Linked DNA regions of Arabidopsis thaliana. The protein of the gene in region 1 interacts with the protein of each later gene in a pairwise test. Each region holds a gene or a part of one and is shown in the gene's direction. Other genes may lie near its edges.

Region 1 (4,805 bases):
GTTAAACCATCTCCTGAATGTAACCACATTAGCGTCTGATTTTGTTGGGATAAAGCAAGCTTTTTGCCAGTTTTCAGGGCCTCTCTCCAGTATCTTCCGCTCCTACACACATTCCATTACAAGATACAAATCAGTCTGGTACATTGATCAGCCTCTACTCAGAACAATGTGTGTACTAGATAGATTTGGAATTACCTCTACATGAAGGAGGTGCAAATCTGAGTCTAGAATCGTATTTTGACCAATGTGAAACACCCATCTAGGGACAATCTTATCAATAAATACACCAAAATTCCTCGGGAACGTCCATATCAGCCTACTACGACCTGGACTGACCGGAATACATATAAAGATCAAAGACAATCTCCGCTTTGACAATGCCGCCTGTATACAGAACCATACTGTTAGGTAACTAAAACATGTGACTCTAAACAAGAAAATCTTGATACAAGTTAAAATCTATGACCTTGTCAGAAGCAGCTGGTGCGGGATACTCATGTTCCTGCTCTGGTAGAGGGTCTGTGGAAGAGCGATACACACATGGTGCAATAAAATTAGAATAACCCCATTCTTGTTTTGAAAAGAACCCTTTGTTGTCTAGTTTTTTAACGTTGATTTCGAGTGGTTTCCCCCCTTCTCTGTCAATCTTCTCTGCAAGAAGAATCTGAAGGTTGGTAAAAGGATTAAAACAACTATTTGAAATACAAATTATGTATTTGCCTTTTGGTTTAGGAAACCGCATCAGTCCATAATGTGCATAAGGAACATGAGCCGGGTCCATGAGGTTTTCCACCAAGACATCGTACCTGAAAGATTTCAGATTTACACAAAAACATCAACGGAGAATTACCACACATAGTTGAAATGATGTAAAAGCCAATAGATACCCGTAAGGAATATCACGATTCCCCATCAACTTAGTGAATGATGGGTCTTCTAACTCTGGAATGTAAGGAGGCTTGTTGGTTTCAATAATGTTTTTGTACTTTGGATCACTGTTTGGCCAAAACCAAATGATCTCATGCTGCACAGTACTCGGGTAAACAGCTACACAAGCTTGCTTGAAAGTGTGGACCTGATTTGCATTACCAAAATAATCATTGATACAACCAAAGACTTTGACTTTATGTTCCATATAAACCATATGCTAAACCAATCTAAAACAAACAAATCATCATCAATAGCTATAAAAATTTACCGGAGGACCATCAGGAGGAGCTTGAGGAATGAGTTTACAGTCACCGGAACCATTAAAGCACCATCCATGATAAACACATTGCAACCTCCCCCATTGATCAATCCTTCCATCAGACAAAGGAGCAAGACGATGAGGACACGTGTCATCCATCACTTTCCATTGCTTCTCGTTCCTATCCCACCAAACAACCAAATCAATCCCCATAACTTTCTTCCCATGAGGAACCTTCTTGTCAAGATCGCAAATTGGCATCACTGGGTACCAATTAGCGTACCAATCGAACTTATCCGACCCGGGTTCGAATAGGGCTTCAGGTTCCGGTGGAGAATTCGTTGACGTAGCGGCTGATGATGATGGTGGTGATGATACTGCGGTTGTGAATCGACTTGATTTGCGGGTGATAAGGGAATTAGGAGAAATGGGTAGGCTTGGATTGGAGAAGGAACATCTGAAACGAGGTTTCGTATTGAGAATTCGGAGCGATGGAAGAGCGCATGCAGCAAGAGCAGCTTCCATGGCGTTGTGTGGTGGTAACAACCGGAGAGACGAAGCAAATGAAAGTCTTCTTTACCAATCTCTTTTGACAAATTTATAATCCAACGGTTCAAATTAAAATATCTCAGGATGTATTTAAACCAATTGATAATCATTTTTCTGGTTTAATGAAAACTAAACCGGTTAATTGAAAGAGAAAGTGTCGGTTGAGTGTGAAACCGGCGTCGGCAAAGTGAGGGTATAAGGGTCCTTTCCAGACACCACAGCATCAGTTTCTTCAATCTCCCACGTCTGAGATTGAAAAGTTTGGGAGAAGATAAACAAACTCAAAATACCTCAGCTTTAGATCAAAATCTAAAAACAAGAGTTTCGTGCAGTGGTTTCTTAGAGATCTAGTAGATTAGAGAATTTGGATTTGTTGAAGAAAAGTGGATTTGGTACGATTCTATAGGTTTCCTTCTTCTCTGAAGCTACTATAGAGAGAATCTGCGAGCTCAATTTCGTAGTAAATTAGGGTTCGTGTTTCTTGGTAAAGATAGAATCAATGGCGGAGGTTGTTCTGCACATATACGATGTGACGAACAGTGGATCAGAGAAGACTAACAACACCATAGTTCAGATCAATAGGTTCTTCAAAGACGGGATCGGTCTTGGCGGTATATTCCACAGCGCTATTCAGGTACTACTACTCCACTGCCTCGATCTTCTTCGTCTTTAGTCTATCAATCTACATCTGCACATGTATCGATGATGTCTCTCTTTTGAGTTGTTGTTTGTGTGTCTGTATGTGGAAATGAAGAATTTGAAGGAATGATATTTTTGGTTTTATCTGTGAGGCTCTAATCTAATGGCATATGGTCGTAAAGGTCTCTGTAAGATCTTGAGCTTAAGCTCCCTTTTCGTCTGTACTGAGGATCTCAATACTCGGTTCTTCAAGTAATTTTAGAAACGTGTTATGGGATTATGGGTGCGATGAACTTTAGGTTTACATGTTGCTATTGATTCGCAGGGAAGAGTGATTGAATAGAATCTTGTATGAACTTTGTGCAGGTATATGGAAACGATGAATGGTCTTATGGGTATTGTGAACAAGGAACTGGTGTGTTCAGCTGTCCTAGTGGCAAGAATCCAATGTACACATATCGTGAGAAAATTGTTCTTGGGAAGACAGATTGTACAATCTTCATGGTAAATCAGATCTTGCGTGAGCTCAGCAGGGAATGGCCAGGACACACTTATGATTTGCTGTCCAAAAATTGCAATCACTTCTGCGATGTATTATGTGACCGCCTTGGTGTGCCAAAGATCCCAGGTAAAACCATTATTGTGGGAATCAGGGTTTGTGTGTGTGTTTATGTTATGTGACGGCTTGGGTTCTGTCTCTTAACAGGTTGGGTGAATCGTTTTGCTCATGCTGGCGACACAGCCTTGGAAGTAGCAGGAAACACAGCAATGCGGGTGGGTTCTCTCTCATTTTGCTCTGCCCACGCTGTTTCTTTTTTTACACCTGAATGCATGTGGATGTTAAGTCCTTGTGAACTGTGACTTTTGCAGGTAAAGCAAGCCAAAACTGAACTTGTTTCAGCCAGTAAAGTGGCTTATCGCTTCCTTTCGAATGTTACCTCAAACATAACCAATGGTTCAAATGGCTCCAGTGGCTCTCCACAGCGGCCAGGAACTCTCAACAATTCAGACAATGGGAGCTTTAGATTGCAAGGTAGTTGGTTGAAAGGTATACTTAACACTGCCAAACCCTCCACAAGTACAGAGATAGGGAACAAAGAGGAAGATACAAATCATACAATCACCAATCAGAAAAAGCAGAACCGTGACTCTGATGTTCTACTATTTCAGTAGCAACTGTACTGATCCACCCCAATGTATTCACTTACTGTATATCCACCTATCCAAAATTTATTCGTTTGTATCCATTACTTTGTATCACGATTCGAACACACCTCTCTTTTTTTTTCCCCTTTTCACAGCAGAACGTGTGATTTTGTTAAGAAGATATTTTCAACACGTTACTGGCAAAGACCAAGCAAGTCTTAGCATATGCATTGCACACCTATTAGAGGGTTTGTTAAAAGAATGTGATATAAGATAAGCAACAATGCAGTATGAAGAGACTTCAACATGTATAATAGATACAACTCAAAATGCGTCTTTAATATTACAGCGAACGAAAACAGAGTATAAGGTCTAACGTCAAGAGAAAAAAACAGAGCATTGACACCAAAGCAAGCAGAAGGCAAATGTTTATTTTAAAAACCGAATGAGGACGAGTCGTGGCATCTGTCATCCCCGGAACATCCCATTGAACACAAAGGCGTTCCCATCAGCATTTTCAGATATCTGTAGCGCCGAGACAGCCTGAGCAGCAATCAAATCAGCTGATATTCCCATGTTGTTATCCCAAGCACCCCTCCTCGTGAATGGCGACCAGTTACTATCTCCTAGTCCATAGCCATTTGACACAAACCCAATCCCTTGAACCGCATAGCTAGCACAGCTTTGGCGAGGAACGTAGTTAGTTCTTTCATCTCTAAACAGATCCATTGTGAAACCCTTTTCTTCACCAAACTTGACTCGAGATGAATCATCAGAATCTTCGCCCAGTAGGACGTGCAGAGCAACAGCTTCTGCAATTGCAGCTCCTTCTTCATCTAACCTTTGTTGTTCTTCCAATCTCTTCTGCTTCTTCTTTTCAAGCTCAGCCCGGATGGCTGCAGAAGTAGCAAGAGCTTTCTCCAAACGTCTCTTTTTCTTCTCAGCTTGTTTGATACGATCAAATTCATCTTTACCATGCTTCTTCTTCGCTTTCCTAACGACTGGCTGAACTTGCTTGCACACCGTGTGATCCATTATTGCTTGACTATAAATTTCTAACTAAAAAACTGCACTAAACTCGATGATGTTGTAGAGGAACTCAAGAACTACACCCACTCTGGTATATAGGAATACCTCATGGTGCGGACAATACAATCCCAGAAAGAAACAACAGGAGACAACTGAAGAGAGAGGTTATAAGAATTCGCAGACTTATTCTTCGAAATCATTCGTCCAACATTCCCGCACCCCTTAGACTCGCCCATTTTCTGCATTGACAATT
Region 2 (3,565 bases), 2.3 Mb from region 1:
TTCAAATTCCCAGCCACTGATTTGAAATACGAAAATGAAGAATCAGTATCAGGAAACGACTTTAAACCCCTCGTTACTTCTTCACTCGATGACAAATCAGGTTTTGAGCTCTTTCTTATCATAGAACCCGAAAAGTCAGAACTTTTCATGGAGACTACACTACATCTCATACTCTTCCTTCTCCAGTGTTTCTTCCGAGACCCAATCTTCAAAGCGTGGAACTTTAATCCTCCAGTAACCAAATTATCGCGACATTTTGCTTTGATGTTACTAACAAGACAAGCATCACCAACTGATATATCACCACACAAACTCGCAGAGCAGAGTAACGCGACCATTCTAGAGATAAGCCAAGCAAGCAAAACAATTCAATTCTCCGGCAAAAATTGAAACGAAAACAGAGATTAACGATGATGATTCATCACATTTCAAGTGGCGCAGATATAACTAACAAAACACAAACACGTGCTGAATAGCTATGAGCATTTTGATTCGTCTCCGTTCACCGGCTGAAAAGAGCGCGAGGGAGTCGATTTCGGTGAACCGGAGATTTTTGATGAAAGAATTTTCGAAGCAGAATAATAAAAAACTTGCCGAGAGGATAAAATCAGACTCGCTCCACTCGATCCTTACCGTTTTGCTTCCCTCCCAAAATATCTTTAGGCCCAATTCAGGCCCATTTTTAGGCCTCTTTTCACGACAGTCCAGGTTTCTTTGTGTTGCTGTAAATTACCTTTTTGGGTACTAAATTCAAAATTCTCATTCACTTTTGTTTTGTTTTCTTTGTTGATTGTTGATAGATCCAACTAATTTATCCAGAATTGAAAAAGAGGAAGAACAATTTAGATTAAAATAAATTTAATGTAGTAAATAACAAAGATTTCTACTTTATATTCCAAAATTAATAAATAGAATTAAGACTAATTGTCTTTTAAAAGAAGAAGGCCCATAATCCAAGAACAAGCCCAAATACGACACTAAATCCGCCGGCGAGCTTAGCGGCACCACTAGTAGGAGCTACGGCTGGACCGTCGAACTCAGATGGCGAAGGACCTGGAGAGAAAGCAGAGTTACGAGGAGTGATGACGACTAGGCGTAGCTTCTGACCCTTTTGACAATGACCCTCTGTTCCACTGACGAAGTAGACCGGACCAGCTTGGTCAAGCTTCACCTTTGTGTTCCCGTCGGTGTAGCTGGCTTTAGGGCTAGTGGTGTTGCATTTCTCGTATGCTTCTCGTGTCACTTGCAAAACCGAGTCTTTACCGGCTTCGTACTTGAATACTGTAATAAACATGTGACGATGTCAGAAACAGAGTATATTGAAGATCACACAAAATGTCTAATTGAAAAAAAAAAGTTGAAAATTATGGATTTACCGATAAAGTCGCCGACTTTGAAGCGAGCCTTTTGAGCCCATTCGTTAAAGGAGAAAGAAGAGGAAGGAGGGATCTTCCAGTCACCGGATTTTCCACCGACGGTAACCTCATTTGCATTCACGGACGAAAAGAAGAAGACAGAGATGCAGAGGAAGATGGTGACCAAAAGAGAAGAAGAAGCCATTGATTAGAATCTAAAACCTTAAAAGTATTAGAGTGTGTAATGTGTTTTAAAGTGTGTTGAGGATGGAGAGAGTGTGGATCTTGTGTGGTTTATATAAAGGTAGAGGACTTGGAAACTAGCCGTTTAGGAATTACGAAAAATTAAAAGGAAAAAATGGTAAATGTTAATGTATCCGTTGGAGAGATGATAAAGGCAACGTAACGGTTAGGATTGAGCGACAAAACTTGAACTCTGATAGAGAAAGTGATTTCACGGTCTTCTAGGAAGACTGGTCAAGCTAAGCTGTTTCTGTTTTTTGTTTTTGTACTTTACTTTTTGTTTGCTAGTGGGAACTGGGTTTATTGGGCCTTGAAGTTGATAAAAGATGAATAAAAGACATATCGCCTAAAGCCCATATGAGAAGCAGAAGACAAAAACCTCCAACTTTGGGCATAAATTTTGATTATAGTTAAAAGTCCAGACCCAATTTGGCACCTGGCTTAGTTACGATTCTAAGGCATGACACCTGCCTAATATGTTTATTACAGAAAATAAAGAGAATCAGCTAGGTGTCCCTTATTGAACACATTAACAAACTCCAACGACACTACGTGTCTTCGTGACTCTTACTATATCCAAAAACCTATAGCTAAAGCTGAATTTTCCATGATTAGTATAGTCCCAACCAAAAAAATACTGAAGAAGGCATAAGCATGGCCGGAGAAGAAGACTGGAGAAAAACAGCAGATACGACGAAGATGAGCTCGGAGGGAGTAAAAGCTGCCGGCGTTGAGTCATCAAAGAGGCCGCCAGGAAGTAATCCAGGTGGTGTTCTTCATCAACGCCGTAACTTGCCATACAGTTACACGACGATGGCTCTAGCCGGATTAGCTATCTCGGGGGCCATCATGTACACTGTTATGTATGCTAAGAAGAAGCCGGAAGCCACTGCCACTGATGTAGCTAAGGCTGCCACAGGGACGGCTAAACCTGAAGATACACATCCAAGAAAGTAAAATTTCAAGGGAAGAATTAAAGGGTTTATCTTCTTCTTCTTTTTTTGCTTTTGTAATTTTGTTCTTGCTTCATGCTCTTGTTGGAACTTCTTATTTACTTGTAATAAAATAACATAACGTGTCCAAGAATGGCTTATGTCAACTACTAGAGCAAGCAGAAGAATAAAATGGGAGGAATAGAGTAGTCTTGTGTAGCAAATGCATGCGTATAATTTAGATCACCGAATCCTCTACATTTCTCTGTGTTATGTCGCTTAAAAGTAGGGCCATTATTGTGGGCTTCTTTTGCGTATTAATATTTTTGGGCCATATCCTAAAAGATGTGTAGAGCATCATCATGCATGGCATTCAAAGACTACAAATCCGGTTTTGCAGTCTTTTGATATGACTTTGATTACGTTTTTATATTTCCAGTCTTAATGAAAAATAGAAAATTCCAATTGTTTATGGAATTTATTCAGTTTGGTTTTGATTTAGTTTTAGGGTAAATTCTCTAACAAGAAAACTCAATTTGAAAATTTCGAACGGTGTGATTATTTTGAATCGGCAATGTGGTCTTGATTACTTACTGTCAAGTGCCAAATAAAAGTTTAAGGAAAGAAATAGTAATTTTTTAGTCAACTACAAAATAATAGCAAGTTGATTCTATGAGACAATTGGTGATTCGCATGTCTTTAAAAAACGTTGATTGGCATAAAATAAGATCGTAACGTTATAAATATGAAAAAATTAGGTGAGTCCACTTAATGGCCCAGAAAAGTAAGTGTATTGACATAGGCTGTTAGGTAGAAACACTCATGTGTTGCTTTATGAGCATAAAACCTGGACGACAAACTTTTTTTTCTCTCCTCACCAACTGCACACATTTTATTTATAAATCAACATTTTCGTCTTTAAATTAGGCTGATCATCGTTTACTTTCTAATCAATTCTGATAAAACATTCAAAGTACTACTACTAAAAGCTTCAGTTCAAGTATCCACTACTTAGAAACATATCTAACGGCTCGT
Region 3 (4,897 bases), on another chromosome or scaffold:
TATGTTGTGTTGATACCAATGATACGGTAAAAAGAACAAACAAAAAGAGAGAATGAATAATCTAAAGGAAGGTGGAGAATAAAGGCGATGTTGGGACTTGGGGGATAAGAGAAAAGAGAACATATAGAATCACTTTTTCACTTTTAATAAAAGCTATAGCTTATAGGTTTTGGCGTATTGCTTACTAAACAATAGTATAGTATTTATTGTGGGACTGGAAAAAATGATTTTATTTTTATCATCCAGTTTTTCCTACCAATCTCACCTTTTTAGTAACTTGAATTGAATTGTCCCATAAATTCTTAAATATGAGCAGTGGGTTGGTTGGTGTTGAGTGCTTCGAGCAGGCCTGTCGAATCAATGGACTCTACTGACGATAGTGAAAGCAGTAAGCTTTCAATGAAGTCGCTCCAATAACAACTTGTTAAAGGTTTTATTGGAGGTTACACAATTTACACCTACAATTATTTTTATTCGTTCAATAAGAGCCACATTCTTTAAGAGTTGGTAACACTGAACCCCATAAAAATCATCTTGGACTCCAATTTTCACATCCAAACATTTCCTAATCAAGTCATATATCCAATGTTTTATGTCAAATCTATTTCACTCCCCCTTCACTTCAAAACATCTTCCAATTCTTGTCCTCACATCAGATCCCTGAACTCAAATGATAAAGAGTGTTTTTTTTTTTCCTTTTTCCCCTAATATCTTTTACTTTTCAATGCTAGACACTAGCCCTGGGACTAAAATCCGCTAACCGCGAATATCCGGATCCGGATCCGTGATCCGCTCCGAAAAATCGGATATCCGGACTAAACGGATCTGAATACGGATAACAAATTTATGGATCAGACGGACCCGGATCCGGAGCCGGATAACAAAAAAAATTACATCCGGATATCCGGATCCGTCAAAATATCTACATATTACTAGTCCTGAGACTAAAATCCGCTAGTAATATGATATTACACCAATTAAGCTTATACATTGATATCATGGGCTTAATACATACTGATATTATTAATCTTATAGCCCATATAAGCCCAATACGACAAAGTGACATAATTTGAGTTTGTTTGTGATTTGGTGGGACACGTCATTAGGGTTTCACAACTTGTCTTCTCTCTGCCGCCGTTCTTCCATCACCATCTCTTTCACCGTCTCCAAACCATCTCCTTCACCGTCTCTATCTCATCTCCATTGCCATGAATCCATGAACGAGATCTTCTCCTCAGTCGTTAGCCCCGCAAGAACTTCTCGTCAATGGTCACCACTTACCTCCGACTCGAGATCGTGCGCTCGTCGCTTAATTGGGAACTGAATCAATGTCGTTAAAGGTGAAGAATAGAAGAAAGCCATGGCTTGGAAATGGTGGTTTGTAGATTGCGAAAGCTTATGACAAACATTGGTGGATTCGATCTGGGTTGTAAAAGAGAATCGGATTTGATCCCCATAGAAAAAAAACGGATCCGACGATTTTTTTTGCGGATACCCGGATTCCGAATATCCGTAGCAAACGGATGCGGAGCCGAATATTATATCTACGGATCCGGCGGTTACGGACCGGATCCGGATACTCCAAAAAAACCCGGATATCCGGATCCGTAACAGGCCTACTAGACACTATACTTTATTTTTTTTATCAAATATGAAATGTTTACTTTTGAATATACTATGCAAATTGCAAATCTAACTCTAGGCAAGTCTTTAATTCTCTATGTGAAGACACCAAAACGCTTGGTTTCAAGTTCCAACTGATAACTAGTAACTAGTAAGTAACCAAAAATATAACATTTGAATCTAAAGAGTTTAAAGGCCTCATTAGAGTCCTGAAAATTTATAACAGAAAAAGTATCAGCCGCATGATAGTTGATAGCAACTTCTCCATATAATCGTGTTTGTAACAAATAACGAAATCGAGAGACTGGATAGAAATAAACTAGATTGAGAGTTTACAAAAAAGAAAGCAAACGACACCAAATCTATAAAATAATAAGAATCAAGAGTTAGCCTTCAACTCCGTAAGCCCATTCAAGGCCTCACAATAACCAACCCAAACATTCCACGCCTTATACCAATCCCCAAATACTTAATGCCTTCAACTTCGAATTGCCACATCGTTGGTGGTTGTTTATCTTGGAGCTAATGGGCTGATTTTCATGGGCCCATTAGATATTTTTGCTATTTTTTCGACACAAAATTGTTGAAACTCGAGTTTCTCGAAGTAAGTGATCGGTTTTTAGATCTTTTTGGTCTCTTCAGTCGGAACTGAAAATTCATGGCGACTCGCTCGCTCTTCCATAGTCTTAGATGGTGAGTCTCCCTCCACCTCTCTATGTCTCCTACTGATTTCGTATTTGTTTCCTGAGATAATTGATTCACACTGCTTCTTATGAATTTAGTCGATTGACGAATAATGGTGTTCTCGGAAGCAATTTCATTCGAAACGCCGAATCGTCACGATTCTCCAAGTCGTACAATGCTGACGCAGCAATCGGAAACTCCCTTGTCGAGGAATCGGAGGAGAAAGACGATCTGAAGAGCAGGATTTTCAGATTGAGACTTCCGAAACGTAGCGCGACTACTGTTCTCGAGAAATGGATTGGAGAAGGGAATCAAATGACTATCAATGAACTCCGAGAGATCTCCAAAGAGCTTAGGAGAACTCGCCGTTACAAGCACGCTCTTGAGGTACTAACATCGATCATTTCCTTTTTCATTGGTTTTTCTTCGTAGCTCCTAGTTTCTAGATTGATTGCACAATTTATGATTTGTTATGTGTTGCTGCACAAAACTGCATTCTTCTGGGAGCTAATTCAAGTATTATTAACAGGTTACAGAGTGGATGGTACAGCATGAAGAATCAAAGATCTCAGATGCTGATTACGCCTCACGCATAGATCTGATTTCAAAAGTTTTCGGGATCGATGCAGCTGAACGCTACTTTGAAGGTCTGGATATAGATTCAAAGACAGCTGAAACCTATACTTCTCTCCTTCATGCTTATGCTGCCTCCAAACAAACCGAACGAGCCGAGGCCTTGTTCAAGAGAATCATTGAGAGTGATAGTCTCACTTTTGGTGCCATCACATACAACGAGATGATGACTTTATACATGTCAGTTGGGCAAGTTGAGAAAGTACCTGAGGTTATTGAAGTGTTAAAGCAGAAAAAGGTTTCTCCGGATATTTTTACTTATAATTTGTGGCTAAGTTCATGTGCTGCAACCTTTAATATAGATGAGCTTAGAAAGATTCTTGAAGAGATGAGGCATGATGCTAGTTCCAATGAGGGTTGGGTTCGGTATATCGATCTTACTAGCATCTACATAAACAGTAGTAGAGTAACTAATGCAGAGTCTACTTTGCCTGTCGAAGCTGAGAAATCTATTTCGCAAAGAGAATGGATCACATATGACTTCCTTATGATTCTGCACACTGGTCTAGGGAACAAGGTTATGATAGATCAGATTTGGAAGTCTTTGAGAAACACCAACCAGATATTGAGTAGTAGAAGCTACATTTGTGTTCTTTCATCTTATCTAATGCTTGGTCATTTGAGAGAAGCCGAGGAGATTATCCATCAGTGGAAAGAGTCTAAAACGACAGAGTTTGATGCTTCTGCTTGCTTGAGGATCTTGAATGCTTTTCGAGATGTTGGTTTAGAGGGAATAGCCAGCGGCTTTCACTTGATCTTGGTGCATAACAAATGCAGCTTGGAGAATGAAGGATCATCTTAAGATGGAGAAATAAGTTGGTGAAAATTTTATGCTCTTAGCAAGAAGAATCAGATCAAGCTCATTAATCATGGTGGATGAATAAAATAGAGGTTTCTTCTCTTCACTGTGATTCTTAAATATCTTTTTGTTCTTTACGTGGGAGGTCATGAGACACATAGATTTCCTCACCAGAAGATTTTGCTGCATAGTCGGAAGATGTGTTTCCTTAGGCAAGGTCCATAACATTTCATATGTAACGTCAAATTTCAAAAAGTCCAAATTTTACAACAAAAAATAGATTGTGGAGGTTTTTCTTGTATGGTTGTTGTTTAATAATAAGTCTACAAAATTTGTTTTTGGTATAGAAAAAATGATAGTTTGAAAGGTTAGAGCAAAATCCTAGCATGTAAGAAGCCAAAGAAGGTTCCATTATTAACACTCGAGTTTATTACATGAACATGATACACAAACATGTTTAGACCCATGAGAGAAACAACAGAAGCAAATAACATTACAATAGTACAAAACTACAAGGCCTTTGAAGAGCTTAAGAGCCAGAGAGATTAGAAAAAACAAAAAAGATGACAAGTTATGGGATTGATAGCAACAGAAGAGTAATAATGAGACAAGAGAGAGTGGGGACATAGATTTTCACCTAATGAAAGTGGGAAGATTTCAATTTCCACAAGTCACAACCACTCCAAAAATTTCAATATTTGCCTTTTTGATTTTTCTTCATCCACACCCACCACCACCAGACCTTCACAGAGATATTATTATTACTCACGAGTAAAGATAATTATTAACGATCAATGAGCACCAAGACTTTGCTTTTTTCCCTTCTTTCACTTTTCTTCCACTCCAAGCACAGAAGAAAGTGACTTTTTTTTGGTTCTTTTTTGAGAGAGCATGCCAAATCCAAAAGTAAACCACTATTGATCCAGCTAGATGAACAGTGGATACGGTCCCACTAGGGTCACCAGGCGTGTTCTAATTGTTTCAAACCCACGTTAATGAATTTGAGAGAATCTTCTTCATCAGTCCTTTACCTCATTGATTATCTTTTGTCCCATGTCTTCTCTTTAACCAACCAAACATGCCTTATCAATAGGACAAAAGGGGTTGTAGGTTTTTCACCAATGGTTATTCAAACCCTTTGATGAGTTTAAGCTTTGC

Evidence for each region.
Region 2: the proteins of AT4G25660 (region 1) and AT4G31830 interact in a two-hybrid assay, tested with the Arabidopsis thaliana proteins (one large-scale study listed by BioGRID).
Region 3: the proteins of AT4G25660 (region 1) and AT5G09450 interact in a two-hybrid assay, tested with the Arabidopsis thaliana proteins (one large-scale study listed by BioGRID).

The regions. Positions count from the first base shown.
Region 1 is NC_003075.7:13,081,440-13,086,244, forward strand, and holds AT4G25660 (PPPDE putative thiol peptidase family protein), read left to right. Parts: upstream 1-1,967; 5' UTR 1,968-2,237; coding exon 2,238-2,372; intron 2,373-2,743; coding exon 2,744-3,005; intron 3,006-3,083; coding exon 3,084-3,151; intron 3,152-3,247; coding exon 3,248-3,550; 3' UTR 3,551-3,991; downstream 3,992-4,805. Other genes in the region: ACD1-like protein, read right to left, coding at 1-102, 196-384, 467-806, 888-1,075, 1,199-1,714; AT4G25670 (stress response NST1-like protein), read right to left, coding at 3,992-4,558.
Region 2 is NC_003075.7:15,399,793-15,403,357, reverse strand, and holds AT4G31830 (uncharacterized protein), read left to right. Parts: upstream 1-2,132; 5' UTR 2,133-2,252; coding exon 2,253-2,555; 3' UTR 2,556-2,754; downstream 2,755-3,565. Other genes in the region: PGR3 (proton gradient regulation 3), read right to left, coding at 1-338; ENODL15 (early nodulin-like protein 15), read right to left, coding at 932-1,281, 1,377-1,560.
Region 3 is NC_003076.8:2,939,583-2,944,479, forward strand, and holds AT5G09450 (Tetratricopeptide repeat (TPR)-like superfamily protein), read left to right. Parts: upstream 1-2,215; 5' UTR 2,216-2,281; coding exon 2,282-2,316; intron 2,317-2,405; coding exon 2,406-2,694; intron 2,695-2,836; coding exon 2,837-3,742; 3' UTR 3,743-4,086; downstream 4,087-4,897. Other genes in the region: AT5G09445 (uncharacterized protein), read left to right, coding at 1,372-1,611; AT5G09460 (transcription factor bHLH143), read right to left, coding at 4,855-4,897.